4 linked regions of the Notamacropus eugenii genome follow. The protein of the gene in region 4 purifies or fractionates together with the protein of the main gene of each other region. This does not show direct contact. Links are inferred from orthologs where the notes say so. Each region holds a gene or a part of one and is shown on either strand. Other genes may lie near its edges.

The links.
Region 1: the proteins of BTRC (region 4) and IKBKB purify together in Homo sapiens (affinity purification with western blotting; 3 studies listed by BioGRID). This does not show direct contact. The link is inferred for Notamacropus eugenii from reciprocal best matches to the Homo sapiens genes BTRC and IKBKB.
Region 2: the proteins of BTRC (region 4) and TRIB2 purify together in Homo sapiens (affinity purification with western blotting; 3 studies listed by BioGRID and IntAct, with this or other methods). This does not show direct contact. The link is inferred for Notamacropus eugenii from reciprocal best matches to the Homo sapiens genes BTRC and TRIB2.
Region 3: the proteins of BTRC (region 4) and ARIH1 purify together in Homo sapiens (affinity purification with mass spectrometry; 3 studies listed by BioGRID and IntAct, counting the BioPlex papers as one, with this or other methods). This does not show direct contact. The link is inferred for Notamacropus eugenii from reciprocal best matches to the Homo sapiens genes BTRC and ARIH1.

The regions. Positions count from the first base shown.
Region 1 is NC_092872.1:618,298,707-618,306,376, forward strand, and holds the start of IKBKB (inhibitor of nuclear factor kappa-B kinase subunit beta), read right to left. Parts: upstream 3,006-7,670; 5' UTR 2,811-3,005; intron 2,129-2,810; 5' UTR 2,116-2,128; coding exon 2,011-2,115; intron 1-2,010.
Region 2 is NC_092872.1:751,839,390-751,847,267, reverse strand, and holds the start of TRIB2 (tribbles homolog 2), read right to left. Parts: upstream 3,006-7,878; 5' UTR 1,439-3,005; coding exon 1,169-1,438; intron 1-1,168.
Region 3 is NC_092872.1:244,700,883-244,708,610, reverse strand, and holds the start of ARIH1 (E3 ubiquitin-protein ligase ARIH1), read left to right. Parts: upstream 1-4,723; 5' UTR 4,724-4,774; coding exon 4,775-5,146; intron 5,147-7,728. UniProt on the Homo sapiens protein: E3 ubiquitin-protein ligase, which catalyzes ubiquitination of target proteins together with ubiquitin-conjugating enzyme E2 UBE2L3.
Region 4 is NC_092872.1:179,423,882-179,430,730, reverse strand, and holds the start of BTRC (F-box/WD repeat-containing protein 1A), read right to left. Parts: upstream 3,013-6,849; 5' UTR 1,605-3,012; coding exon 1,595-1,604; intron 1-1,594. UniProt on the Homo sapiens protein: Substrate recognition component of a SCF (SKP1-CUL1-F-box protein) E3 ubiquitin-protein ligase complex which mediates the ubiquitination and subsequent proteasomal degradation of target proteins. Recognizes and binds to phosphorylated target proteins.

The DNA of each region.
Region 1 (7,670 bases), about 440 Mb from region 4:
TGCTGGAACACTTGCATGGAAATTATCTCCTCTCTTCTCCTATTCTCTTTCTCTTTCTGTCCTTCCTTCTTCCTTTCTCCTTTCTACTCTCCCTCTTCTCCTTTTCCTTCCCTTGACTACCTTCTTTCCTTTTTTTTTTAAAGCAAAAGTAACTGCCTTTGACTAAGCTGAGAAGGGATCTGTTATGGAGGATGGTGCAAGACAAGGATCCCTGAACTCTGGATAACAAATTTTGGGTCCTGGTGCTACCATATAAAGAGGCAACTGATGGATCAGTGGATAAAGCACTGGGCCTGGAGTCAAGATGATCTGAAATCAAATCTGGCCTTAGACACTTACTAGTTGTGTGACCTTAGTCAAGTCATTTAACCTCTGTTTGCCTTAATCCACTGAAGAAGGAAATGGCAAACTGCTCCAGTATCTTTGCCAAGAAAACCCCATGGCCAGCTCTGGCTAGCGATGAGATGGTCCACAGGATCATGAAGAGTCAGGCATGATTCAACAATAAGAATACTACCGTATAAAACCCCTCTAGTCATTTGATCTTAGGCAAAAAATTTAAACCTGTAAAATGAGCATCATAACACTCACAAAACCTGAGAGTTAGCACGGCACAGTGGATAGAGAGAAGGCCTCTAAGTCCAAAGATCGAGGTTCAAGTCCCATCTTTTACACAAATGGGTCATGAGATCCTGGGCAAGTCATTTCATCCCTGTCCCAGGCAATTCTCTAATGTGCACATCTATATAGGTATAGGATGTTTCCTTATTGATATTATCATAAACCAATAAAATCAAAGCTTTGGTAAAAAAAATGCTTGTAATTTCGACTTCATAGGGTTGTGGTGAGGAAAAGACTTTGTATGCTACAAGGCACTACAGAAATGGAAGTGATAGGTCCCTGTGACAGTCAAGGAGTCTAGATTCTGTACGTTTTATTTATTCACTCTCTTTATAAGAATATCACCCTTTATCAACATCTCGGGTTAAATATTTTGTATTGACTTATCCTTGTCCCCATCATATCTCTAAAATAGAATGTGAACTCCTTCAAAGCAGAGACTGTTTAGTTTTTTTATCCACAGCCTGCAGTACAGTGCCTTTCCTATAGTAGGTACTTAATAAATATTTATTGAATTTAATGTTCTAAAGTAGGAATAATTTGGTGACCCTAAGAGGGGGCATTGTACTTAATGCTAGACCATAGGGTGGGTGGAGCGATTTGAGTGAGTTTGAGGTAGTCTTTTTTTCCAGCAGGTCCTTTCAGGTATAGGACTGGCTAGTACTCCTGACTCTCCACCAGGAATGAGAGCTTCTCTCCTAAGCAACCGACTCCAAAGCTGTTTGTATTTAACCTCCAAATACCCAGGAAGAGTCCTGTCCACTTGGAATTGAGAAGGCCTGGTGTACTTTAACATTTAGAGTTGCATAATCATGGGTCATGACTGTCCAGTCAAGAGCCTCAGAGGCAAACAAACCAACAGTGATGTGACCCATCATTTCAGCCAGATTCCTGATTATGGTGAAGAACTTGCGGAACTTTCTGGTGTGGAATAACCTTAGGGAAATTGGGGTTTTTGGTAGGATTTTGTCAGGACATTAGTTTGTTGTTTATAATGAAATCCAGGTGCTGGATAAGCTCCTTGAGGTCAGGGATTTTCACTTTTTCCTTGTTTCCCTTGCACATAGTCAGGTTTATTTGATAAATGACAGTTGATTGACTAGGCAGGTAACATGTCCAAGGTTTCTCCAACAGGCAGGCTAGAGAAGATTAGCAAATCTGAGGAACCTACTCTGATCCAGGTTCTTTCTGCCTCTTTGGCTCTTCTCTCCAAATGAGACCACCCTACCACCAAGACCCAAATCAAAACCCAGAACATGGTGGGATAGGCACACCTAGATCAAACAGAAGGAATCTCACTAGAGCCACTTGGGAAGTGAAGTGTGAAATGCACTAACCCCCCTCACCTCATGACTGTTCTTTCCCAGGGTAGAAAGAGGTCCTACCTACCTCATTGTGCCACCGGATGACATTTCCAAATCCCCCAGTTCCAAGCCGTTCTTTCATTTCCCAGGACCCACAAGTCTGCATTTGAAGAGAAGGTGGCCAGCTCATTCTGAAGTTACTGCTGTGGGAATTCAGAGGAGGATCAGAGGAAGAAAAACAAGACCCCTTGGAGAGATGGAATGGGACAGAGGATTCTTGCCTTTGGGTGTGAGTGAGAAGGAAAAAGTGTGTTTTTATTTTCTTTTAAAAAAGAAACTCTTCTCTAACAAGTTCTTCAACACCTCTCCTACCTCTGTTACTCAAAGAGATCCCTTGATTGCCAAAGGAATCCCCCTAAGGTGCCATTTAAGACTCCCTTCCTCTACTTTCCCTGGATAAAAAATTTGAAAGTCAATTTTTTACTTCCTGGGAAATCACATACGCCTTTATATGGTATGGAGAGCCTATGAATGAATCCTCCTTCCCCACCATGCCAAACCACGCACTTCAAATGGATCAGTGGGGGAACCTACACCAGCTGTATTTTCTCTCTTTAGGCTTTACAGCAATCTCCCGGATTTTAACACTCACCAACCAGGAACAAAACAGAGTGGGTGGGCAAAGCAAACTTCCAGAACTCAGTAGAAATTTGTTTCCAAACCTCCAGGAAAGGACAAACAAGATTGATTATCTCCCTGGATGTCAGGAGTAGTGACCAAGGAGAGGGACAAGAAAGAGGTCACAGCTGGTCCCACCTTAAGCCACCTGTCTCAGCTCAGGGTCCCGGGGGTTGGGGGGTGGGGAGAAGTAAGGGGTGAACTCACCTGCCTGGTGGTTGGGGAAGGGGGAGGCGGCCCTTGCCAGGGCAGGGAACAGGGAGGGAGGCGGAGACCACCTGTAGGGACTTAGGTCGGTGGGTGCCCCCCCAGACCACATCAGGGTTCAGGGACCTGGATTAGACAGCCTGCCTGCTAGCTCTAGACTTCCTCAAACACTTCCTGCTCTGATGTCAGCGGGCCACATGGCGGGGGACGGGCAGGCTCTTAAAGGGGCCACAGGGACCCGAGGAAGCCTTCAGCTCCGGGCTTCTAGTGTTCTAGACTGGACATCCTATGCATCCCTCCAACCCACCTGACTCTTCCAACAGTGGACCCCAGCTCCCAGGATTTCTCAGGAAGATGTGTATTGTTCTAAAAATTAAAACTAAAAACCCAAAATCCGAGGGTGTATATTGGGGGGACAAAGGGGAAGGACGGTCCTTTCTCAGTATACTCTGGTACCAAATCCCAGCACCCCCAAGCAGGGAATGAATGCAACAAGCCCCAGGCCCTTTCTTAGACAAATGAAACTGACTAGCAGCAGGTTCTGGGAATGGAGGCACTGATGGGGATTTCCTCAGCCTTCCCACAGCTGGGAGGGCTCTTTCTGTTTCCTCTGACACTGCATGAGGTGGAATTTTTTCTGGGTCCCTGCTTAGGGTGGATTGGCTGATGATTTACAAGAATTTGCCATTACCACAGTGTCATCCCCCTTAGAAGTCAGTTATCCCTCCCTTCTTGAGGCTCTCTTCCTTTTATCTGGAAGGATCAGTCACAGTTAAGCCCCATTCCAAAGGAAATTGCCACCGTGCCAAAACTAAGAAAGAAAGATAAATTCAAAAGAGTCCTGGAGGAAAAGTCAGAGAAGATAGGTCTGATTGAGTCAGTTCCTTTACTCTTCTGCAATAGCTGGATGGCTTGAACAAATCAGTTCCCCTCTCTGAGGTTCAGTGATCTATTTCTTCTTTTAAAAAATGACAGGGTTGATCTAAGGGGTGTTTAAAGTAAGTTCCTTCTTGCTCTTACAAAAACCTGGTAGTGTTGCATTAAAAGCCAGTGTTTGAAGCCCAAGGAGTATGAGGAAATTCAAAAAGAAATTTAACCTTGATAAAGGGAGAAGCAGCTTGCTATAGAGGAAAAACCTTCTGTCTAAAATTTCTCAGGATTTAGAACTACCAATATGACTGTGGACAACTTACTTGAGCCTCAGTTTCCTCACTCATGCAATGAGAGCATTGAGCTAGATAATTTCATCCATCTATCCATCTATCCATCCATCCATCCAATGTACAAAGCATTGTGCTTAGGTAGGTGCTAGAGACACAAAGACAAAATGGGAAACAGTTCTTTCCCTCAGTTTTCCCAACATCCACATTGGTGAATGGTACATTGTTTTAGGCAGACTCTAGACAAGTTTCAATTTGTCATGGGAATTTTTCATTTCCTATTTATTTGGGACTGAGAACCATGCCCCCAGCAAATTTTGGTTAACTGAAAGTCTATATTAATTCTCGTGACCAAAACCTGTCCCATGGGATATGGAAATTTACTTAGAACCTTGTTATTGTTCAGTCATATTTGACTTGTAAATTGGGTTTTCTTGACAAAGATACTGGAGTGGTTTGCCACTTCCTTCTCTAGTGCGTCCATATTTTATAGATGAGGAACAGAGGCAAATAGGAGGTTAGTGACTTGCCCAGGGTCACTCAGCTAATAAGTAACTGAGGCCAAATTTGAACTCACAGTTTTTTGACTCCAGATCAAGTGCTGGAGCCACTGAGCTGCCTAGTTAGCTGCTTAGCCCTTAGATCCTTAAACATTCCTTAAATAAGAACCCAGAGAAAGATTCTCAACTGTCTCTGAGTTCTTGGCCATGTAAATCTTCCTCTTTAATCAGTTTATTTGTAAATCCTCTAAATGTAGTTTAATCTGTATTCTGACTTAGTTTACTTATAGAGTTTGTTTGAGGAGGTTTGTTCCCTTAGAGGATATACGAAATTATAAATGTTTAACTAAGTGTGTTGAACTTTTATGACATTGAAGGGAGCATGGCTCTATTTTCTCTTTAGCTTTTATGACCTAAATGTAATGTACACTATTACAATCTGAAAATGAATTATTCCTCAGTCACTCTGACATAATTTTGCCTATAAGAAGCCTTGTCAGAATCCTAACGATTGTTCAGGTTTTCTCTGAGGCCTGATCTAGGCTTGAGCATCATCAGAAAACCTAGGTTTTTAGCTCTATATTTTCTGCTTTGTGGTAAATATATATTTGGCAGCAGTTAACCCACCACATGAACTTAGACAGATGTTTCTCCTGTAGCATCATTCCCTATTCCCTGACCATCTTTTCACCCAATAGCCTCTCTTCTTTGAGTATACTATATTTTCCTTCTCTCTCCCTTCTACCCTTCTTCAGTTCTAGAAGCATGACCATGTCAACTTAGCCTTCTTCTTGCAAAGGGTACAGTATTCTAGTCCCCTGAGTCCCTACCCACCATCTCTATAACTTTACTGATCAAAGTGCCGCTTCCTGGCTACACTGCCCCCAGTGTGTTGTCTTTCCCTATTGGTCTGAATTAGAGTGTGACCTCCTTGAAGGCAGGGACTCTCTACTTTTGTCTTTCTATCCCTATGCACCTGAGTGGTACAGTGGATCCGTAGATGGAGCTCTGGGCCTGAAGTCATGAAGACCTGGGGTTACATCTGGCCTCAGACACTTACTAGCTATGTGACCCTGGGCAAATCCTGTAACCCTGTTTACCTCAGTTTCTTCATCTGTAAAATGAGCTGGAGAAGGAAATGGCAAACCACTCCAGTATCTTTGCCAAGAAAAACCCAAATAGTCATAAAGAGTCAGACACAACTGAAAAACAACTTAGGAGCTGTGTGATCCTGGGCAAGTCACTGGTCTGCCTACCTCAATTTACTCAGCTGTAAAATGGGAGTCATAATACCATCACCTCCGAGGATTATTGTGACGATCAAATGAGCTAACATTTGTAAAGTGTTTGGCACAGTAGTAATGGGAGCTTGATGAACACTTGTCCCACTTCTCTCTCCCAGAGTTTGTCCAGCACCTTCCCCTCCCCCTCCCCACTCCTCCTTAAACTGGTAGGTTTTGTAGGTAGAGTCAAAGACTTGGGGTTTAGGGTTTAGAAGATCTTAGTTTTAAATCCAACTTCAGACACTGATGAATTCTGCGCAGGTCACTTAACTGTTTAGACTCAGTTTCCTCAATGGGGATAATAACAGCACGCACCTCACAAGGTTGTTGTTTACAAAGCATCTTACAAATATTATCCCATTTTATCCTCACAACAATTCTAGGAGGTAAGTGCTATTTTTATACCCATTTTAGAGATAAGGACATTTAGAGAAACACAAAACATCTGGGTTGCACAGCTAGTAAATGTCTAAGGTGAGATTTGAACTCAAGTATTAGCTGTTGTACCACCCGACTGCCTAATTTATATGTAAAGAAATTGCAAATCTTAGGTGCTATATAAATATTAATGATACCAGGTATCATTAATAAATGTTTCTCTCTCCCCCGCCCACTCATTCAAAGAGCTCACACTCTGTTGGGAGGGATATATTTAATCAGATATGCAAAGAAAGGGACTAGATATGTGATTTCATTGGTACAGAGAACTGGTGGACAAGAAAACTTCTTCTACAATAAAGTTTAGCCCCTTCTCTGCGTTTTCCAGTTTTAAAGAGATGTGTAGGGCACCAATCTGTTCACAGTTCTGCAGCAGTATGTGTCAGAGGCAAGGCATAGATAAATAAATACCAACTATTTTGGACCGGGAGAGAACACTATCAACTGGGATAGGAAATGACCCATGAGTTGGTGTTCACAGAAGTTAGAGAGTCTAAAAAGTACCTGTACTTTTTAGAGATTTGGAGAGAGCGAATTCCAGGCAATGGGGGGATGGCCCGTAAAGATCACAGAGATGGGAAATGGAATATTATGCTGGGGAAGCAGGTGATTTGATTGAAACCCAAGAGAACTTGAGAGGAAGTAATGTGTAATAAACCTAGAAAAGTAAACTGAAACCAGGATGTATGAACGTCAAAGGAATTTGTATTTTGTTGGAAAAGCAATTCCTTCTTAAATAGGGAAGTGATGTGCTCCAACCTGTGTTTTAGGATGGTTATTTTGACAACTCTGTGGAAAATGCATTATATGGTGAGAAAGTCAGGGAGAAGAATTAACCATTGAGATAATTCAGTAGAAGAATTATGAGGATCTGTACAAGAGGTGGTATATGTGAGTGGAGAAAAGTGACTGGTTGGAGAGATGTTTTGGAGGTGGAGTCCACAAGATTTGACAACTGATAAAGTATGGATCAGGGGTTTGCTGGGTAACTGATTTTAACAGTTTTCTAAATCTGGGGCGCACACTTTTAAGGCTGATCTGCATTATAATCATTTTCTCCTTTACTTTCTCAAATCTAGGCAATCAGCAAAACCAGATTTCCAGTAAATGCTCAGTTGCTTACTAGCTCAGATATGTAATATTTGCCAATTTCTGATGTGTCAATGTTCAGACATTTACTAGTTGTGCGATCCTGGGCAAGTCACTTAATCCTGTCTGCTTTAGCTTCCTCATCTGTAAAATGAGCTGGAGAAGGAAATGGCAAATCACTCCTGTATCTTTGCCAAGAAAACCCCAAATGGGGTCATAAAGAGTGGGACAGAACTGAAACGACTCAATAACAACGAATGTTCACACTGAAAATTTAAACAGTCAGTTCTCTCTGGAGCCTGTTAGAGCTAGCTCCAGGACACATTTGGTATGGAGACTGCAGGAGAGAGAAGAATTGAGCGACTTCACTATTCTGACCCTGATTGACTG
Region 2 (7,878 bases), about 570 Mb from region 4:
CTCTCTCTCTCTCTCTCTCTCTCTCTCTCTCTCTCTCACACACACACACACACACACACACACACACACACACACACACACACACACACACACACACACACACACACACACACACACACACACCCCCAGTCCTCACTCAGGGTCAAACCCTCAAAGCAGGGATGCCTTCCTCCTCCCCCTCCACCAAGCTCAAAGCCAGAGCTGTTCATTCTTTCACCAGCTGTGCCCATGCCGTGGCTTTCCACTAACTTCCCTTTAAACCTTAAAGGGAGCCTGGTCGAATTGGCACAACTGGTAAAAGCAGGGGAGGGAACAGGAGGAGGGGGGCTGAGATGGGAAAGAAAGGGAGGGCGGGAGGCTGTGTGCAGGTGGCGGCAGCGGCCTCAGTCTCTTCCTAAAAGGAGGTGTGCCTGGGGCTTTTATCCCTTCCCATTGTGCAAAGGGGCCGGGGAGGGAAGGAGGGAGGACCCCGGACAACCCAACAGCCAGACCTCTAGGTTCCTTTGCAAAGCCTACTTCCAAACAAAGCTCTCCCACCCGTACTGCTGCAGGAGACTGGGAGGAAAGCGCCAAGCCAGACCCTTGGGCAAAACCCTTCTCCATCTCGGTGCCGCAGTTTCCTCATCTGTAATATGAGAGGTATTAGCCCAGAGAGTTATCTAAGGACCTTTCCAGCTCTGACATTGTGTGATTCTAAAGGCATTGTCTTAAAATGAGTAGGGGATTCCCTCCTCTAATGGGGCTGGGGGAAGGGATACGGGGGTTAGAGAGGCTGGAGAGGGGGTGGAAGGTTGTCTTCCAGGATCTGTCCGGCAGCAGACGACCTCTCGTACTTTTTCAATAAAAACCTGCCTGAGTCTGGACATATGGTCCCTCTGGCCTCTCTTCCCTACCCAGGGCTCCTTCTCAAAGCGACTCTGCCTGGAACGCCCCCGGTAGAGAGCCTGCCCCTATTGTCTGAAGTGGCCAGCAAAGTTCTGAGCTAGTCCTACGTTAAAATAATAATAACAATAATAAAATTAGAATAGGCACCAGGGGATTTGCTCCCAGCTCAAGAGTTTGGCTGAGAGAGTGCGGTACGGGTCTCCTTCCCTTAAAAGCGTGGAATTGGCACTGGGGGAAGAGGGTGCTTGGGGAGGGGGGGGGGGGGGCAAGGGGTGAGTTTTACCTTGCACACGAGCTCTTCCCCACTGTGCAGATGCACAGCCCGAAAAACGTGGTCTCCCTCCAGAGGTTCCAGCAATAAATATTTCCCGATGCAAGAAACGCAATGCGACAAGTTGGGAGCCTCCGGCGGGCTCGGGGAGCCGAGGTTGGGGCTGAAGCTCTGGCTGGGCTCGGTGGACCTCAGGGACGACAGCTCTTCAAAATCCTGGGTTTTGGTCCGCGGTCTCCCATAGCGTGAGATTGTGATCGGGGTAGATCTTTGTATGTTCATGAGGGTGGCGATCACACGCAAACAACAAAACCCGGTGGGGACGGGTTACACTCGCTGGCGAGTCCGGCTGCAGGCGCCTTTGTGTTAGAGATTAAAAAGGGGTGGGGGGGGAGTGAGGGGAGAGGAGAGAAGAAGAGAGGGAAGGGGAGGGGGCTGCGTGCAGGAAGAGTTAGGAATCCGAGGGGCAAAGAAAGAGGCGGCTAGCTTGGGCACCTCCGCCGCTGGAAAAGCGGGTCCCGGGGGCACTTTCTCCGCAGGCGGGCGGGTCGGCGAGCGGCCCCTTTTGTTCCCGGCACGGAACAACGCCGCCGCCGCCGCCGCCGCCGCTGCGGGCGATAGACTGAAACCGCCGTTCGATCGCTGATTTTTTTTTAATGCTTCCGAACGTGCGCGGCGAGGGAAACAAGGTAGCCGGCTTCAGAACGCAGCGAGCTGCAACGTTCCACTGCCTCGGGGGACCCGGGGAGGCTTCCGAGCCAGGCGAGCCCAGAAAGCCCGAGCTGCAGCAGTGGCCCGAGGGCGGGATCGCACCGGGGCGGCAGGGTCCGAAGCCGTGCGGTCAGCGGGCCCAGGGTGCAGGCTGCCCGAGAACCGTATTGAAAGGAAGGAAGGAAGGAAGAAAAGTCAAAGCCCAAAGAGCGTGGAAAGAAAAAAGAAAGCTGCAGCCTGCGGGGCTCCGCAACTCCAAGCAAGGCATACAGGACTCGTGGGGCCCCCTCCTCCTTTTTTTTTTTTTTTTTTTGGTGGGGGGCGTGGGGAGGCGAGGAGAGAAGTTGTCTACGTTTTGACTGTAGATGGCGTCTTCACCTTTTCCCAGCGAGAGAAGGCTCCCCTCAAACGCTCCAGTAACTAGCGAGGGAGCATTGAACTTGGGGCGGTCGGGCAGACGGACAGGCAGACCTGCGGGCGTGTGGACAGAAGGACAGACTGGCGGGCGGGCGCACGGCACGGCCAACAAAAGCAGCTTCCGAAGCGGCGCCTGGAGGCGAGCCTGGCTGCCCAGCCCACTCGTGGGGCGCGCAGCCCGGGGCGTCCTGGGCTGGAGAAGGAGAGCTCGGGGTCAGAGGCGGCTCATGCCGCTCCAGCTCTGGCCCCTGCCGCTGCCGCCTCTCCGGTTGTCCTCCACTCCCTGGAGCGAGTCTGAAAGAGGCGGGGGCTGTCGGCGTCCTCCGGGGCCGCGCCGGGGCTCTCAGCCCGGTGCCCGCACACCCCCCAGCGTGGGGTGGAAGAGACGGGACAGAAGGCTCGTCCTCCGGAGCAGGTTTCGCCCCGCTCTGGATCTCTAGCTCTCTCAGCCTCTTCTCCGCCCGGACACAAGCACGGGTTGCTTTGCCAGTCTCCGCGATGCGGGGCCGGGGCTGTTGTTCACGGTCTCCGGAGCCCAAGGCGGAAATTCTCGGGGGGAGGGCAATGGTAGGAAGGGGTCTTGACAGTTTGAAAAGAAGCAGGCGAGACGCTCGGCTGGGACTCTGCTGGGGGGCGGGTGTGAGGCTGCTGGGTGCAGAGGGAAGCGAAGGGGCACCCACAGTGCCCGGGGCTGAGCCCTAGCTCAAGACGCCTGCATCGCCGCCACGGGCCGTATTAATAGCTACTTACGTGGCCGGGAATCTCTTGTCTGACTGTGTCAGAGTGAGAGAGAAAGGGAGGGAGAGAGAGAGAGAGAGAGAAGGAGGGGGAGAGAGAGAGAGAGAGAGAGAGAGAGAGAGAGAGAGAGAGAGAGAGAGAGCCCGCGCGCGCGCGTGTGTGTGCGAGAGACAGAGAGACAGGAGAGACAGAGACAGAGACAGAGAGAGAGAGAGACAGACTGAGAGAGAGACTGAGACTGAGACTGTGAGGGAGGCTGTGCGCGCTCCGGTGTGAGCCCCCCTGGACGCGCGCACCCAGCAGTCTGGCTCAGCCTCCCCCCGGGGGCTCCCCAGTCAATGTCACCAGCACTGCCCGCCCCAGCCGCTCCGCGGGGCTTCCCAGGCATAAGGGGGCTGGCCTCGGCCCCGCCCCGCCCCCCAGCCGCTCGCCGTTCATTGAGCCGCCCGCCCGTCAATCAGTTCCAATGCGGGGGGGAGGGGGTATGTCACTGAGCACTCGGGTCGCCGCCGCCTGCTCGGGCTCCGGCTGGGGGCCCTGGACCAGCGACGTAGGGTCAGCCCATGGAGGTATCCTTCCGCGGGCGGCTTTGTGCGGGGCAGAGAAGGGGCAGCTGGGGATGCAGCGAGGCACACGTGCCCACCCCCGCTGTCTAGCGGGCGCTCCCCATACTGCTGCCACTGCAGCCCAGGCTGGCCACGGGGCCTGGCCAGCAGCAGCCTGCTGACCCCCTTTCTCTCCACCGCTTTCTTTCCTTCCCGCCTTTCCTTTACTCCCCTTGATCACCCTTTCGGGGTCTTCCCACCTGCCCTGCACCCCCCCACAGCAGACGTGCATTCTCGGCACACTTGGGTCTCTCTCCCCACCCTCTCATCTGCCCAGATGTGGCAGTGACCAGCCCCGTGGGGGGTGGGGGTGGGGACTGGCTGTATTTGTTCTTGAGGAAGGAGGGAGGAGAGAGTCAAGGACTGTGATCTAGCTCATTGCGTATTGGCACGCCCCCCCCCCCCCCCCCCCCCCGCGCTGCGTGGTTGCAAAGACCTGGGCCCTTCTCCTTTGTCATTTCTTTGTCATTTTCTTCCCCTTCAAAGAAGAAATCAGATTTTCTAGGCAGCCTGGATCGAGAAAACTTCCAGCCCAGGCTTTCTCTGCATAACGTAGGAAGTTCTGCCCCGGAGCTCATTTAAAGAAGCGCCTTTAAAAACCTTGGAGGAGAAAAAACGGAAGCAGAACGTTTGCATTACCCACAGAAGCTTTGCAGTGGATGCAGCCCCTGCCTCTTACCCACAGGCTTCGACTGCGTGCAGCGAACACTGTGGCTGCTGCAGAATTAGAGTCATTAATAGGCAGGTGGTATTCTGATTCTGCTCAGCTCCAGCCAGATGTTAGGCAAGGGAAACCCAGCCACTCATGCATCCGGGCTATATTAAGTGGCCACTAGGTATGCTAACTGCAGCCTGAAAGAGTGGGCAGTCAGAAAGACTGGAATATTGCAAAGAGTGCTTTACAAATTAGATCCTCAAAACAAGCTTAGGAGGTGGATGCTATTAGCGTTCTCTTTTTACGATGGGGAAACCAAGGCTGGCAGATTGATTGTCTTTCCCAGAGTCATATCTAGTAAGCTCCTGAGGCTACATTTGAACACCAACTCCAGCACTGGTTTCATTTCACTACCTACTCTGCGTTGTGGCCAGAATCATTTAACCAAGGTCACACAAGGAAAAGCATTCCTACTGGGATTCACAAACATCTTCGATTCCTCCCAGGCGTTTTCCCACCAAGAGACATAGTCTGGACTATATTACTTACATTCTTTTGACCTTGTATTTTTCACAACGTACTCCATCCCCACCTTAGAGATGGTGAAACAGAGACTCAATGAGCCTGTCCAAGTACCTTTCTCAAAAGGCTGAACAGTTCATAGAATCACAGATCTGGGGCTGGAGGAGCCTTGGAGTTCATCTCCTGTGACCCTTTTGGCCCCACCCACCAAGGGAATGTGACTTGCCTAAGAGCACTATTTTAGGCACAGAATCAAAATTCAAACCCAGCTCATCGGACCCTAAAGCTCTTATGCATCATGCCAGATGATGGCTCCTCCCTAGGTAAGTGTCTAAACTGGGACCTGACAGGAATAAATCAAGAGTCCCTAGATTTTCCTTCCTCCCTCTCTCCCTCCCTTTCTTCCCTTCCCCTTCCTTCTTCCTTCCTTTCTCTTTCTTTCCGTCCTTCCTCTTTCCTTCCTTCCTCTCTTCCTTTTTTCTTCCTTTCCTTCCTTTTTTCTTCCTCTTTCCTTCTTTTCTTCCTCCCTTTCTTCCTTTTTTCCTTCCTTTCTTTCCTCTTTTTCTTTCTTCGTCTCTTTCTCCCTTCCCTTCCTCCCTCTCTCCCTTTTTTCTCTCTTCCTTAAGGCCCTTTCAGAATCAGAGAAGTAAAAGGATTTGAGGCTGGTAAGCTTTCTCTGCTCACACTGGCTCCCTCTTCCCCCGAGGCAGATGGCAGATGGCTCTGTCTTATCTGAAAAGATGAAGGAACCCCTTTTATGGCCAGAGGTGACTGCAAAGTGGGATCCAAAGCCCAACATTCCCTGAAAAGTGCTAGGACCCCTGCAGCCCACAGTGATGTATGCTCCCCTAAGAGGCTGTCACACACTGCCACGGGTCCGGGAGATTTGTAGGGATCGGGCTTAGGACAGACAGACAATTCCTAACCAGATGACCCATTCAAGTGAGCTCCTTGAGGGAAGGGACCTTTTTTTTGCCTTTTTATGATTATCCCCAGCAGTCAGCACAGAGCCTAGAACACAGGGGGCTCTCCACAAACATTTGTTGAGTGACTGACACACCACAGAAGTCACCTTACTTCTGGGATCTTATGCAGACTAGGGCAAATAATATCGGTATGACCAACCCCAAGGGGCTATCATGGGGAGGAGGCTTTGAAGGTTAAAGATGTTAAAAGGGTGAACCTAGCTCCTTCCACTCTGGGCAGCTCTCATTAGGAGGTTTTTCCTCATATCAAACCTAACTGGGCTCTTCAAGCCTTCCCCCCTTTTCTCCTGTCTCTGCCCCCTGGGGCCAAGGCTGAGCCCTGCCCCATGTGACAGTCCGAGAACTTCAGCACAGCTAGTCTCCTCCTCCCCCTCTCTGGCCAGTCTTCTCTTCTGCAGGATCCAAATGTCCAGTGGTATGTGAATGTTAGGGAGAGGTGCTGTGTAATGGAGAACAAGAAACCCAAAGAATCAGTATTAACTTGGGAAAGCCTATAGGACCTAATGCAATGAGAACCATTTACCCAGTGACCACAATGCAAGCAAAACATCCCTAAGAGGGAGTCGAATTCAGATGAATGCAATGACAAGTCTTGATCCACAAGACTGGTAATGAAACTCAGTTCTGTCTGTGGTGGTGGCTTCCAGGTGTGGAATGCTGCATATACTGCCAAAGCTGATGCGGAGCTTTATTCTTCTTGGATGTTTCTCTTTTTAATTCAGAAGGCTACTAAGAGGTATTGGGGTAATTGGAAAATGTCAGTTGTGTGAAACAAAACATGGATAAAATATTTTTCAAATTTCATGTAAATTTAAAATTTTTTCCCCCTGTGCCCACCCCCCCCCCCTTATATTTAAAAAGAAAAAAGAAAAAACAAACCCTCATAAGAAGCAGGCATAGTCAGGCAGAACATCTCTCTTCACTGACCATGTCCAAATATATACATTTCAATTTGCATCTGGAGCCGATCACCTCTCTCTTAGGAGATCCTTAGCAATTATGAAAAATTGCTTGGCTAGGAGTTCTGAAGTCCTTCACAGTTTTAAAATATTGTTGTATTTAAAGAACAAACAAATGTGACTCAGACAATGACCAGAAGACAACTGGAAGAAGAGCCTACAACTTGGTCTGAAAGCAGGACACCGGTGTTCTTGTCTTTACTAACCTGTGACCTACCACGGACCTTGAGTAAGGAACCTTCCCTTTTTGGTCCTGTTTCCTCATTTGTAAAACAGAAATAAGGGCATTTGCTATTTATCTAACTGGGCTGTCATCATACTCATGCCCAAACTGGTAGTGCAGAGGTGTCAGCCAGACCCCTGCTGTACATCCAAAGTCCTCCCATGCCAGCTCCCAGACGTGTTTCAGCACTCAGTATCATCTGTGATCTCATTCACACAGATACTCCCACCAACACCAACTTCACTCCCCCATGCCAGGTCATCCTGGTGACTCTTCTTCATATTCTACTGTGGCTCCTCCCTAAGAATTCTGGGTGCATCTCCATAGAGCATGAGGGGGCTGCCCATTATCCTTTCCTCTTTAGAGAGGACCCCCTCACTCTTCCCTAAAGTCATGAATCTTTTGAACTCTGATGACCCTTTGTCCTTCACACCATGTCAGGCCACTTCTCCCACTGGACTGGCAATGTGGAGCAGCTTGCTCCCACTCATCATGTCTCTCTACTTCCTTTTGGCACTGAAGACCACCAGACACTGTTATATTTCTGTGTCCTGTGATTATGTCAGGGGCTCAGGGCCTACAAAATTCCTCCACATAACCTTGGTTTGGGAGGAGTCAAATAGAGTCAGGCACATGGAAAGTATAAAATGTAAGTGGAAATACTTTTCTATGAGTTCTCATGCCCATTTTCTCCATTGCCTATCCCCTTCCTGCCTCTAAGTCACACAGCTAGTAAGACATGGCTGATAAGTGTTTCCAGACAGATTTGAATTCTTCTTCATGATTCCAAGCCTGTACTCTATCCACTGCACCATCTAGCAGATTGGACCAGATGACTACCAAAGTATCTTCCAGCTTTTAGGATTTTATGGAATTTCACAGGACATCTCTAATTGCCTCATTTCA
Region 3 (7,728 bases), about 65 Mb from region 4:
CTGGCACATAGTAAATGTTTAATAAATATTGGTTGAGTAAAAAGAGGCAGGAATTTAACAGACTGAATGTTCCAGATAAGTAAGCTACAGCAGCCCAAAAAGCTAATGTGATCTTGGACAGTATAAGATGATGCATGGCATACAAAAGGGGGGGGGGGGGGCAGGGAAGGAGTGATATTCATTGTACTCTGCCCACCCCCTACCCCCGTTAGACCACACTGGAATACTGTGTTCATTCAGGGTGTCCCCCCCACCCCCGTTAGACCACACTGGAATACTGTGTTCATTCAGGGTGTCATGTTTTAGAAAGGTAATGATAAAAGCACCCATAGTTGGGTGATCAGGATTGTGAAGAGTTTCCAAGATCATCACATTTAAGGACAGACTAGAGAAGACAAGACTTAAGAGGGTAGGTAACAGCTGTCCTCAAGTATGTGAAAAGCTGCTATGCAAAAAAGGGATTCAATTTTTCTGCTTGACCCCAAAGTTCAGAACTAGGACCAATGAAAGGAAATTGAAGAAGCTGATCTTTAGCTGTAAGGAAAAACTGAACAATTAAGATTACCCAAAAGTAGATCTTCAAGCAAAGACTGGATGACCACTTGACCATTATATTACAAACAGAAGTGAGAAGAAAGTGAGGTTGGTGACCTTGTACAGCCTCACTCAAATCAAAGTCAACTGCAAGTCATGTCATCATCTTGACGTCATGGTCCTCTTCGAGAATGAAGGACAAACACAACAATAAACAAAAGTGCTGAACTAGACAGTTTCTGAGGTCCTTTATAACTATGAAGTTCTACAATTCTGGCTGCTCCTCAATATAACAATGAGAAATAGCATTTATGAATTCTATAGCCAAGCTTTAGGCTATTAAACTTAAATTACTTTTTTCACAGTCTGAAAACTATGTAATTTTTAAAACTGGTAACAGAGTTTCCATCTCCCAACAAGAACATTAACCCTTCCCAACTGGATTCTAGAATGTCTTATAAGGCAAGACAAGGGTATTTGGTTAACACTGAACTGGGAGAAAGTCACAGGGGGCAAAATGAAAAGCACCAGCATATGAGCAGATATACAGGTTATCCTAATCATACCAAGTGAGCATTTTATGATTGACCCAAATAATAAAGGTTCCTGGCTCTGGCTAGCTTTAGATTCAGCAACATTTACAAAAAAGTTTTGATACCTTATGGCAGAGCCAGGTAATAATGTATTCATTATATCATTACAAAACATTAGTTGAAATAATCTTGGCATGTTATGCCTCTAAAACTGCATTAAGCCCAACTTATATTTAAATAAAATTGTACTCATCTATTTCTTTCAAATTTGTTGGGGAGACTGGAGTTTTATTGCAGTGCTCTGGATTTGCTGGAGGTTATTATTTCTATTATCTGCTTTTAGAAGAATTTTTATGGCATTTTGTTTTCTATTTATCTGAGAAGTACTTCTCATTAGCACTTGTGTAGTAAGCTCTAGGCAGGTAAAGGCTGTTTATATTTGTGGCCTTGGAAAAACCAGAAATCCTTGGGTGTTGTCTTTTCTATTTTTAACTGGAATTGTGATTTCATTGGCATAGCAATATCTTTTGGTAAGGACACTCCCTCTCCTAAACCAGATGTGCATTTGCTCTATAGCTTAAGAGTCTCAGAATTGTCCAAAGCCACACAGCAACCAAACATGTCCAAAGTAGGACTTGAACCCATGTTTTCCTTACTCAAGAAGCTTGGTTGTCTCTCCACTATGCCAAGTTTGTCTCTCTAGAGTTCTTACTTTGCAAAATATCAGATTAAATCTTTTAAAAAGCCTGGTCAGTTTTAAATCATGATTTAAGATGGAAGATGAGAAATTCTTGTGAAGGAATCATAGAAGGTGTATTGAGACAAAAGTCTTTCCCAAGACTGCAGAGCTCAGGGTGCACCATCAGTGTGCTGCCTTACTCATCTCTCAGATGACACTGATGCTTTAGACAAGGAAGCATCAGTTGTTTGTTGTCTATGGCATGGGTCCCTCATCCTGTTGTTTATGCATCATGATTGATATATTCAACAATTACCACAGCTTAGAAATAATAGGCACCACCTTGATATATCACCTGATATATCAGTCACTTTAAAAAAACAATAACATATGTGGGTCATCTGTTTGTGGTCAGAGTAGTTGTTAAACTGGTTTACCTGGAATAGCAAAAACTCAACCTGAATCCAGACCAGAGTTAAAAAACAGGGCCCAGAGGTTTATCTTTGAATATGAGGCCCAAAGCCACAGTTCATAATTATATACGATATGGAATACTGGGGAAAACATATTATTCTGGTAAAACACTGGAAGATCGAATAATTTCCTACCCTAGAAAACAGAGGATAGTTCAGTGATTTGGGGTAAATCTATAAGAATGAAGTCAAAGTGGCCAAACCTTCAAATTTAGTGAGTCTGATAGTCGTTTTGGTTATTATGTCAGCTACATGGTGCTAGGCTCACTTGTTGCACAGTATTAAGCCAACAACTGTCAAATTCGACTTGCCAGATTTTTTTCAGTCTGGCATCAGACTGTAATGTTAGTAATAACACACACAATTAGTTCATCTCTGAGGCTCTACTTCAGACTGGCCTGGAGGCAAGGAAATGGTCACATGACCCCAGGTCAACACTAGGATGAAGTGAATTGCTTAACCCATTATGGAAGTAACTTTTTAAAAAAAGTATTTCCTCTTACTTCAAGCTTCTTATACCAAGGATGTATAACAGTAAACAACGATATCAAAACCAGCTGAGCTTCTACCAAAGACGATCAATTTTACAGTGGAGTTTAAAAAGGAAGATAATTCAGGACTGATGCAATCTGATGAATCCTTCGCTGATCTCAGCAATACCAATATCCAGGAATAAGTAAAGCTGAAGTCCTGACAGCTTTCACACTTCTAAGCTGGCACAATTTTATTCCTTTTTCTCTCCTGGGGTGTCCAAGATGTAAAAATAATTAGGCAAACACTGGAGAGAAAAAAGTGAGAACCAACCCAGTGCTGCTATGAAAATGGGTCCCGTAGTTGCGCCCCAGAATCACATTAATGTAGAACTCGAATGCGGACTACTAAATCAACGGGGCTCCTTCATTTAATAGTTGAGAGAACTAAAATCCAGAGAAGGGCAAGGATGACTCGCTTGGGTAACAAAAAATCACAACTCCAACACAAGTCTTCTGATTCCAGGATGGAGCTCTACTTAACATACAGCATGCCTCAAGTTTTAGGCACGTAAAACTTCTGGGATGTTCTCTATTATGCTACCCACACCCCCACTTTGAATGTTTACTATGCATACAAATTAGGGGATCCTGGATTTAGAACTCTAAAGGATCTCACAAACCCCCAATTTTTAACCCCTCATGAAATTAAGACCATGTGAATGCCGTAGCAGCTGTGCCCGATCCTGGCATAAACTTATATGCCCAGACAGAATCGCTACCCTCTTCAGAGGTCAGCTGAGTCGTCCCACCCCACAGGAGGGTCATCCTCCTGACCCCTTCTCCCCTCCCAGAATTTCCACTGTATACAGTAGACTCTTTCTATTAGGGTCCACATCCTGATCCAAAGGCAGAATGGGAGTTCCCCCAACACGGGGCAGTTTTCCGTCGTCTCGGCATCGCAAAGGCGCCGATCAATGCTCGAACGCGGAATCCAACTTGTCGCACGAGGTCCTAGGCGGTGATGACGGGCAGGGCCCGGCTCCAGGCCAGGCCGATCCAAAGCTGCCTTCCTAAGTCTCTTCCCGGTCTGAGGCTTCTTTCCTACGAGGTGATGCCGCCCTCGGTCGGAGGACGGGAGGAAGGTGGGGGGCGCAGGCTAGGCCCAATTCCGGCCCGCGGGTCTCGACCGCCCCGCTAATTCATCCACCCATCTGCCCCGGGGAGTAGAGGGCCCCGGGAAGCCGGGCCGGCGGCCTTGGGATTGCGTGGGCGGCGCAGGTCGGTCAGGCCGCGGGCGCTGGTCACTCCCTCCACTCGTAGGAGCCGAGGAGAGAGGAACGGGCGTGAACCGACGCACATGACAACGGTTCTCGCCCGGCCGCCCGCCCCTCATTACTCCACCAGGGCTGTGGCACCGCCCGCCGCGCCAACATGGCGGCGCCTCGGAGACGCTTCCCGCGCGCGCGCGCGCGTGCGCTCTCCACAGTCTGGGCGCGGAGAAATTAAACCGGAAGGAAGGTAAAGGGCCGCGGGGGCGTCGGGGTTTCCCCGGGAGCCGCGCAGGGGCCACGGAGAAGGCGGCGAGCCGTCGCAGCACGTCTCCGGCCCGGGGAAGAAGGCGGGGCCGTGATCGACGGGAAGAGGCGGGGCGCGCCTCCTGGGCGGGGCGAGGCGAGGCGGCGTGACGGGACGCGGTGACGTAGAGCGGCGCGGTGACGCACGCCCCTTTGTTGGCTCAGTAGCGGTAGCAGCGGCCGTGGTGGTGGCGCTGGGGGTTGTTTTCTCTCGGAGGCCGGAGCGGAGCCGTGTCTGACCGAGGCGAGCGGGGCCCCCCTCCCTCCCCTCCCCCTCTCCTCCCCGCCGCCGCTGCCGCCGCCGCCGCCACCACCAGCCCCGCCGCCGCCACCCACCCCCGGCCACCACCTCCCGCCGCTGCCGATCGGGCCCCCAGCGTCCGGCCGGGGAGGAGCCGCCGCCCGCGCCCGCCGGGGCCGGAGCCGGGGCCGGAGCCGGCCAGGCCCGGGCTCTTCCCCCCACTCCCCGCCCCGCCGCCGCCGCCCGCCCGCCCGCCCCCCTCGCGCCATGGACTCGGACGAGGGCTACAACTACGAGTTCGACGAGGACGAGGAGTGCAGCGAGGAGGACAGCGGCGCCGAGGAGGAGGAGGACGACGACGACGAGGAGCCCGACGACGATAACCTGGACCTGGGCGAGGTGGAGCTGGTGGAGCCCGGGCTGGGCGTCGGGGGCGAGCGGGACGGGCTGCTGTGCGGGGAGACGGGCGGCGGGGGCGGCGGCAGCGCCCTGGGGCCCGGCGGGGGCGGCGGCGGGGGCGGCGGCGGGGGCGGCCCCGGGCACGAGCAGGAGGAGGACTACCGCTACGAGGTGCTCACGGCCGAGCAGATCCTGCAGCACATGGTGGAATGTATCCGGGAGGTCAACGAGGTCATCCAGGTGAGGCGGGCGGCGGCGGGGGCCGAGCGGGGCTAGGCCCGGCGGGGCGGGGCGGCGCGGCCAGGCCAGGCCAGGCCCCGGCCACTTGTTGATCGGCGCAGGCCCCGCAGTTCTGGGGGGCCCGGGAGGAGAGGGCGGAGGCCTCGGGCCGAGCGGCGAGAGGGAAGAGGTGGCCGGAGGGAGCCGAAGGAAGGCAACTACTTGGGAGAGCCGGGAGCCAACTTGGAGGTGGGGGCGGGGGCGCCGGGGCTGACCGGGCGGCGCGGCGTGGCGTGGCGTGGCGTGGCCGGGCCTCCCCGCGGGGAGCGGGCCGGGGCCGCGGCAGGAAGGCATCTGTTTACATCCTCGCAGGCCCGGCGTGGGGGAGGGGGCGCCCGGCCTGCCTCTGCCTCTGCCCTCGACCCGAACCTCTTTCCGTGCCCTGGGTAGGGGGGGCACGATTTCATCCCGCACTCTGCACTCTCGCTTGTTAAAATGGGAGAGAAATCGTGCGTTATTGTTTAGATTGAGACAATGCTCCGATTGTGAGCTGGAAAACCGAGGCCGGCGCTCTGCCTCCGGACTGCTTTCCCCGCTAACTTCTTTCTCGGGCGGGGAGCTTTGTCCAGGCCGGTGACTACCTCCCTTTGAATTCTCCTTTCCTGTGGCTCAGATTGTATTTTGAGCTTCAGGAAACGATGGGAAGTTTCCATTTGCTTGGAAACATTCTTTACAGTGGATAAGAGGTTGAGGAAGAGGAGTATAACTGCAGCCTTGATTTAAATGAGAGTTTCGTGGGTTTTTTTCATTGCTTAGTGTATAGAAACTAAAGGATATTTCTGAGCATCACCAAACTGCCTGCTCTGCCAAGTTGCTTGGTCATTTTTTTTCTTTGCTGAATGTGCAGTGGTGGAAAACCCAGTAAGATCTTAATGATTTTTTTTTCTGTTTTGCATTAAATTGAAACATAATAATCATTGAAAACTTTGAAAATAGATTAAAACATTCAGTGACCACTTGTTAATGGTGTCCCTAAAATCATGAAAAACAGTGAACACAGGTTTAACTGGTAGCACATTTTTAAGCCTTGTTTTCATAGACACACAATATATAACCTATATTTGGAAAGGATGAGACCATACTTTTAATTAAAGTACCAGAAACCTCAAACTTTCTGGAGGCAGCTAACTACAGTGGAAGCAGCATTGAATTTGGAGTCAGAACCTTGGGTTTCTGAGCTTGAGTTCTCCTCTACTTTACTGCTTGTGTGACCCTCAAGTCACTTAATCTTACTGTGTCTCAGTTGTTGCATATCTAAGATGAGGGAGGTTGAGCTAGGTAACCTTTTAGCTTTAAATTCTATGATTTATAACTCACTTCTTAAAAGGAAACTAATACAGAAGTGATTTTCTGAACCATAACGCTGTAAGTAGCTTTTCTGAATTTGAAAAATACAACTTATAGGTCTCTGTGAGTTGAACAGATTCTAGAAGTGTTCGTTTTTGGTTTTTTATAACTTAGTTCTAGTTCATTTGTGTGGGTCTCAGAGCCTTTGGGGAAACATTTCATTCAGCAGGATTCTGTGTTGCTGAAGATGCAGTTGCATCTATGTGAAAATGATAATCGTTTCTGCCCTCAAGAAACTTGTAAGTCAGGCAAATTTGATAATCAGGTTTACAGAGTTAAAAATTTTCAACTGGTTTCTTTTGTTTAACCCTGCTTTGATCTTTAAAAGTGACTTTTTTCATAGAGCTGAAATCCCTGCTACATTTCTGATAGATTTGAATTACTTTGGCGTTTCATTAGGACCATACTGTCAGAGCTAAAAGAACAACTTAGCATATGCTCCAACACCAAGTGTAGAGTGAGTACCTGTTGTGGATCTTACTGTAAGAGGCCACAGGAGAAGATGCAAATAAAGTGTGACTAGGCCTTTGCTTTCAAGGAACTTGGATTCTCAGTTTGCTGGGTAGCTGACAGTACAAAAATCTGGCTATTGCCTTTTTAATCTTCTTTTAGAGTTTGGAGAGATAAATTTAATTCTGATCCTCAGGATTAGCAGGACCCACTTAAATAGTAGTTGTTGATCAACCATTGAATGGCATGAAAATTTTCATGTCCACGCTACTATATTGGTTCAAATTTGAGTAGCCCCCCGAAAAATGAAATACTTATGAATAAAATGTTAAAGTAATAATAGTCAACATTTACTTGGTGAAAATACAGGATGCTTTGAGGTTTTTATACAAACCAGATTAAGGAGTGTCACATAAAAATACAACCTGTGTTTTTACAAAAATGATAAAGTAAGTTTAGGGGCAGCGGATAGAACAGCAGTGCAGGAGTCAGGAGGACCCGAGTTCAAATCTCACCTCAGACACTTGACACTCACTAGCTGTGTGACCTTGGGCAAATCACTTGACCCCAATTGCTTCATCCTGGGTCATCTCCAGTCATCCTAATAAATATCTGGTCACTGGATTCAGATGGCTCTGAAGGAGAAGTGAGGCTGGTGATCTGCACAGCCCTCCCTCACTCAAAACGAAGTCAAGTGCAAGTCATGTCCTCATTTCTCTGATGGCATGGTCTTCTTTGGCAACGAA
Region 4 (6,849 bases):
ATCTTTTCTAGCCTCCTTATATATTTCTGTGAGGGATCTTTTTCCCCCCTAACAAATTGTGGGCAAAAGTACCTGGGGAATCTGCTGTGATCAATAAATAATGACTCCTAATAAAATCATTATTAGTTTGGTATAATCTAGTACTTCTAACGTGCTTTAAAATAATGTTTCCTTAAGTAGGTTAACTTTACATTATTCATCTCTGGCAAACCCTCTTACATAAAGGGAGCAAAGTTAAACCTTAGCCTAGATCTCAGATAAAGCACAACCAATATAAAATCAGGAGTACAGATAAAGTTTTACTGTAATTAATCTTCTCTAAACTATGTTCATAGTTTAAAGTTTGTACAAAAATACCAATTTCATTTTTATTTGGGGGGAAAAATTTAACTATTAAAATACGCAAACTACAAAATCTGTGCAAAAGTGGTCTGAAATAATTCATAACTTGAGGAAAGGAATGAAGGAGGAGAGAATAACCCTAGATATTGTAAATAAATTTTAGTTAAAAAGAGGTTCTTTTTGCGTACTGATTACCCAGGGAAGAGTATTTGAGACTACTAGGCAGCTCTGTGGATAGAGTGTTGGACTTAGAGTCAGGAAGACCCAAATTCAAATCTAGCTTCAGATCCTTACTAGTTGTGTAATCCTAAACAAGGCACTTAACACTTGTCTGGGTCAGTTTCTTCACCTGTAAAACAGAAATAATAATAGCACTACACCATCCCCCAGGACTGTAACGAGAATTAGATCAGATGATGTTTGTAAAGCACTCGGCAAGTTTTAAAGTACTATGTAAATGCTAGCCCCTATCCCTGTCAATGTCTATGAACATCCTTCAGTCAGCTGAGTTGGTCGACGTAAATAAGCACCATGCAGGAGATAACAAGGAAGAATAAGAACAGTCTGACTGAATTCAAATAATGCCCCAAATAGACCCAAACCAACATTCTGATGGGGCCATCAGAGATGTTTTGTGGAATAAAGTGGTTATCATTCTTGGTCTTAACTTCACAAGGTTACAAGTGTCCTCCAAACATTTACTAATGCATTCTAAATAATGTTATAGATCACCCATAAATTTATCTAAACATTTCTTGAATCTATTTGTATTTGAGTTCTTTTGGGGTAACAAATTTCTTAGCTAACATAGTGTGAAATTGTCTTTCATCTGTGCTAAAATTGCCCTCCCCTCAAGCCAACAAGTATTTATTAAGCACCTACTTTTTGCCAAGCACTGCACATCACTCAAAGTTAAAGTGAAACCACAGAAACTATAGGATTTCTGAGCTGGAAGACACCTTAGAGATTTAGTCTAGTTCTCTATTTTACAAAGTCAGTGAGGCTCAAAGCTCTAGCCCACCATTCCACAGTACATAACAGAGCAAGAATTTAAAGTAAGGTCTTTTAATAACTCTCCTATGGAATGATTCCTCTAATTCTAGTAAGCAGAACATTGGTGATTAAGTTCATATCTAGTATACTCACATTCTTCAAGATTTTGTAAACACAGAGTCATTAAAAGACCTCAAAAGTTAACACAAGTAAACAAAGATCTCATAAATAGGGAAATGAGGTCAAAGAGTTGACTTACCCAAATTCATGTAAAAGACTGTTCAACTGGAACACTAAATATCTAGATCTCAGTCCTCTGCTCTAGCATTTAAAATATGTCTCTGTTTTCTCTCTTGGTGACTACTTGGGCTTCCTTTCAGACAAAAGCTATGGCTGGTAGTGCCAAAAGAAAGGCATCAGAAGCTGAGTCCTTGTCTATAGAGCTTTATTATCCCTATAGGAAGTGACTCAATCTTAATATTATAAGGTACTCTGACAGGTATAAAGTAAGATATGGTCAATCTAGTTCAGATTTATAAGTTTAATTTAACTCAGGTGGCACAACTCAAACATAAGTAACTCCTTGGTATAGAACTGAGACCAAGTAGTAAAGAATGTTCTTGCACTGCTGCCTAAAGTAGATGATCTCATAATATGTGTTTGTGATCTGTAAATTATATTATTCCATAAATCTGGTAAAAATGTCTTAAGTTGATAGAAAAATTCTATCCTCTAAGGAGAAAATAGAAACTAAGTGACTACCATCTTTAAAGACTAGAAGCTGTCCATATGTGTATATGAATAATTCCTGCCTTGTAAAATAAAAATAAAGCATCATAGGCTCATAGATTTAGAATCAAAAGTGGGCTGGGAGTTCATTCTAGTCCAACCCTTTCTCTGTAAACAGATGGGAAAACTGAGGTCAAGATTGCCCAAAGTCAAACAGGTAGTAAGTTAGAAGAGCCAGGACTTCCACATCCTCTAACTGTAAATACAATGTTCTTTTCACTACCCTATGCTACCTCCTAAATCAAAGATTTTTATACCTGATACAGTATTCAAACTTTGGGTAGCAATTCAAAGAGACACTTCAAACAACTGATTTCTATATTCTTAATAAATTTTTAATTCTGGTCCGTAAAAACATTAATTCCCATCAAATGAACTTCCACCAAATGATACAAATCACTTAGAATTCATTCTTGGAAACAAAACATCTAGATTGTTTTGACCTAATATTAACTCAGTAGCTATTTTAGTTTGCAGTTGTTACTGTATTCCAGGCAACACTGGAAATACCAACCATTCATTCAAAGAATGGGGTTAGGGGCTGTCATTATTCCAAATTCAACTCTGAAGAAATTGGAAACTTATGCAAATAGTATTGATTTCCTAAAGACCAACTGGTAAACTCAGATAAAGTCTATGTGTATTCTTTTTCATTATCACTCGCTAGCAGTAACTACAGAGTCTGATGACATCACTGAAGTTTTGTATGTGGGAAAGCCAAGGGCAATCAGATTAAAAGCCTCAAATGCTAAACTTACTCAAAACTGACCAGACACTAGCAAAACACAAGTATAGCATGATACAAAGTTACAGAAAAATGTAACAATATCTCACACTCTCTAATGAGTACAGAGATCTAGCATCACTTTTCCCATTCCACCGTCCCACTGCTTTCTCTTCAGTGTCTCCCAACCCCTCTCCACTCCCGCACTCCCATGTCACTAATTCACTCGGCGACACTTAGGGAGACTCTCCACGACCCAGTCCTTTCCGAGACTGCCTTAACCTTCCTTGCCTTTCCTCCCACGAGTAGGCATTTGCCCCTAACCTTAGTGGCCTCTAAACTCTTCCCCTGCCCCTGACCTTGTTCTGGTCAATACTTGGAGACCATCAACTTGTTCTGTTACAATATTAACCCCCCGTCCGTTCCAAAGTAGGAGAATCTTGCTCGTCCCCTCGTCTCCTCTTAGGCTGGCTCAGGCCTCCCCAGTCCCGGTGCCCTCGTCTCTAGTGGCCTCTCGCCCCAGCCCCGGGAGCCCGGCTTCCTCCCCGCAGCCCCACTGCGTCCGGCCCTTCCCGCACTCGGCCCCCAAATACCTGTCCGCCCCCGCAGCGGCCGAGAGCCGCCCGCGCGGCGGGACAGACAACGGCCCCCGCCCGCCCTCGCCTCCGCAACCTTCCATTTCCCCAGGAACTGGCCCGCTCTGTCCTTCCCCTCCGTCGCCCCGCGCGCCACGGGCAGCCCCCCTCCGTCGGGACCCCGCTGTCACTGGGACTCTCCTCCACAAGATGGCGGAGCTGCTACTCCCGACCCCCCGGGCCCAGGCCCCCAGCTCCCAGCCTGCCCGGACCCTTCCGGCCTCCGCCGCCCCCGCGGCCGCCGCCGCCCCCGGACCCCAAACTCGCTGTCCCCCTCTCCAGACAAGCGGCCCAGGCCCAAGCCGCAGCCAAGAACGACGCGGCTGCTACTCCCGCCGCCGCCGCCAACGCCGCTGCTCCCCGGCCCGCGCCTTCTCCTCACCATAAACTTGAGCGCCTTCTCCTGCAGCACCGCCTCGGCCGGGTCCATAGTCACCGGGGGCCGCTGGGTCTCACTGCTCCGCCAGGGCCGCCCCCTTCGTGCCAGGCCGCAGCCAGCGCAGCTCCCGGATCCCGCCTCCTCTTCCTTCCCCCCGCCCTCTCCCTACCTCTCCCGGCGCCGGCAGGGGGGCAAGGGAGAACCGGCTCAGCCGCGCGCAAGCGCGGGCCCGCGGGCTCACGGGATATGTAGTTCTCGGCCTGAAAGCAGTATAGGGCGGGGCAACGAAGGGAACTGAGACACCCGCCAATCCCTGCGCTAGGCCAGCTCTGCTATTTCCCTACGAGAATTGGTCCGAGGAAGTCCACCTACCTGGAGTTGGAAAAGGGACTCATGGGAAATGTAGTTTTTCAGTTTCTGGGTAGCGGAAGTGCACTGTCACCTTGGTTACTGTGAGAAGCTTAGGGAGTCTGACTTGGGATTTGTTCACAAGATGGCGACCATGTCACTTTTACCTAGCAGCAAGGGGTTAATCACAGACACAGAGAAAGGTTTTACCAGAACCCTGCGAACTGAGGTTTAGGGGGGCTAGATACTCCCCAAACCTCATAGATCTGTCCTGTATCCAAAGGATTGCTATCCACTGGAACTCAGCTTGTGAGCAGGCTGCTGAGTGCTTTGACATCCCTTGGTCTACCTGCCTAAGGCCTTTCCCACTCCTTGTCCAGAACTCATCATCTTGCCTGCAAAATTCAGGCCTCTGTTCCCGAAATTAGACAAGATCTTGCCATGGGAACTAGCCTTCTAGTTCTGGGAGACCAGACCTGACTCATGACCTCTCAAAGCTTACAGTTCTGGCCCAAAGCCAAGCTTGTGAAATATCTATGTGGTGGAAATAGGTAAATTACAGGAAGTCAGAGTTACAGGAATTTTTTGGGGGGGCTAGCTAGTGTTGAATGTGGTTTTTAATTCTGGAAAAGCTTCATTTTGGAATTTGGTTCTACCCTAAAACAAAATAATTCCACCTGAAGCAAACCCAGGCCTAACACTGACAGGACATATAGATATTGATTAATATTTACAGGCATATTGATGTATAAATTTACAAAATAGGTGAATTAAAGCATGAGTATGTGGGGTGAGGTGATTAATAGTCACTGATCCACTGGACGTTTCCCCAACTCAACAACTTGATAAAATTTCAAGGCATGAGCCTTTAGAGGACTCTTAGTAGAACCTCTCCATGGAGAATGTAGGCATACCCACTAGTACCTTACTTAAGGGACTCAGAACTAGACCCAGTACCTAAAGCTGCTGCCAAGATGATTGGCCATCTGGAATGTAAAAAGACTAATTTTTGTAGAAGAAGCTTCTGGTCTTTGTCCTCTATCAGTTCTGCCTCACTTAAATCCAATTAAAGTACCAGTCAGGTCATCACCCTGTGATGTCATTGGGCCCCTCCAGAATCTACGGACAAATAATAACAATAATAATTTAAAAAAAAAAAAAAGAACTGACAGACCCAACAGCTCACTCTTTCAGGCATTCTTTTTCTCCCATCTAGAAATAGGTTAGTGTACAGATATAGTCCTAGGGGGAGGAAAACTATTTTCTGTATGTATCCAGGAACTAAAAATGACTGTCTTGGGAAAGAGACAAGTTGTATATTCTTGCTGGTAGCTGGAAAGAAGAGATCCTGAAAGGCAAGATTCTCAACCCAAGGTGACAGCAATCAGCATACTGATAGATTTTCTGTAGAAGCACAGGGTAAAAGCAGACTAGTGTGCTTACTCAAAACAAAAGTGCAGTTCATGGACAATGTTCATCAACCCTAGGCCCCTGTGTGGCAGGTGAAAGTGGAAGAAAGGAAGGAATTCTCCAGACTGACTATGTAATTTCAAAATCTAACTTTCTAGCCAAAGAATAAGAGTTCTCAAAATTTTAATTTAGGACTCAGTGCTTAGGGCATTTCCTAAAACTGTACTCTTAGAGGGAAAAAAAGAGTATTACCCACTTACCTGAATAGCATTCTACTTGGAGAGTAAAACCAATGAGTTATTTGTACCACGCAGGACTGATGGAAAAGGGATTGCTTATTTAGCAGCCCCCAAAGTGTACTTTCTTCCAGCGGACGTGCCAAACAACAGTGTGCCTTGGAATAGAGAGAGATATGAGACATCCCCTTTACTTGTGGAATAAGGCTAAGTCAAGCAGGCAGAATAATAAGCAAATAAGAAACTGACAAAATGTTGGCCTTGCAATAAAGTCAAATATGGCAGGGCAGAACAGAAAATCCACAGAAAAAATCATTGGTTTAACTGATTATGCATCCAAAGGAAAATATATGAGAAAGCAATTTTTATGGAATGATTGGGCAAATACCAACTCCAAGGGGGTGAAAAGTGAGAGAAGTAGATAGCAGCACATAATACTTTTGAGGTATTTGACATTTTCTCCAGAGACCTTAGCCTGAGTTCTTGCCACTCCATTCTTGCCCACATTTGCTGCTCTCTTTGTGATCAAGCACTTCTCTGAGGGAGTATCGTTTAGGCATCAAATTTACCCGTTTAGAGACCAAAGTCTATTCTCTAGTTCCTTGTCTATGTTCTGCCCTACAACTTCTCCCTGGAACATAAGTTCATCTTTTTAATACCAATATTAAACTGATGTATGTACTGATGTATGTTTGAAAACCATAGAACATTACTCTGCCAAAGAACTGAAACTGAAAATAACCTGAAGAGGCATATGAGGGATAAACATGGCTGCCAGATACCACAAGTAAAGGGTCACCAAAGAAAAGCTGAGTTAGTTATATTATAAGTGGGGATAAGTGATAGACAGCCCTTGAGTTCCACTGGTATCTTTGTGATGTCAAATTGTAGCAGGTTGGGTATAGCTGAGCCTGTCCTCACACCTCCACCCCATCCCCAACCCCAGCCATGGCAAACATAGGGCAGGGACAAAAGTCCTATAGGATGGGCAGG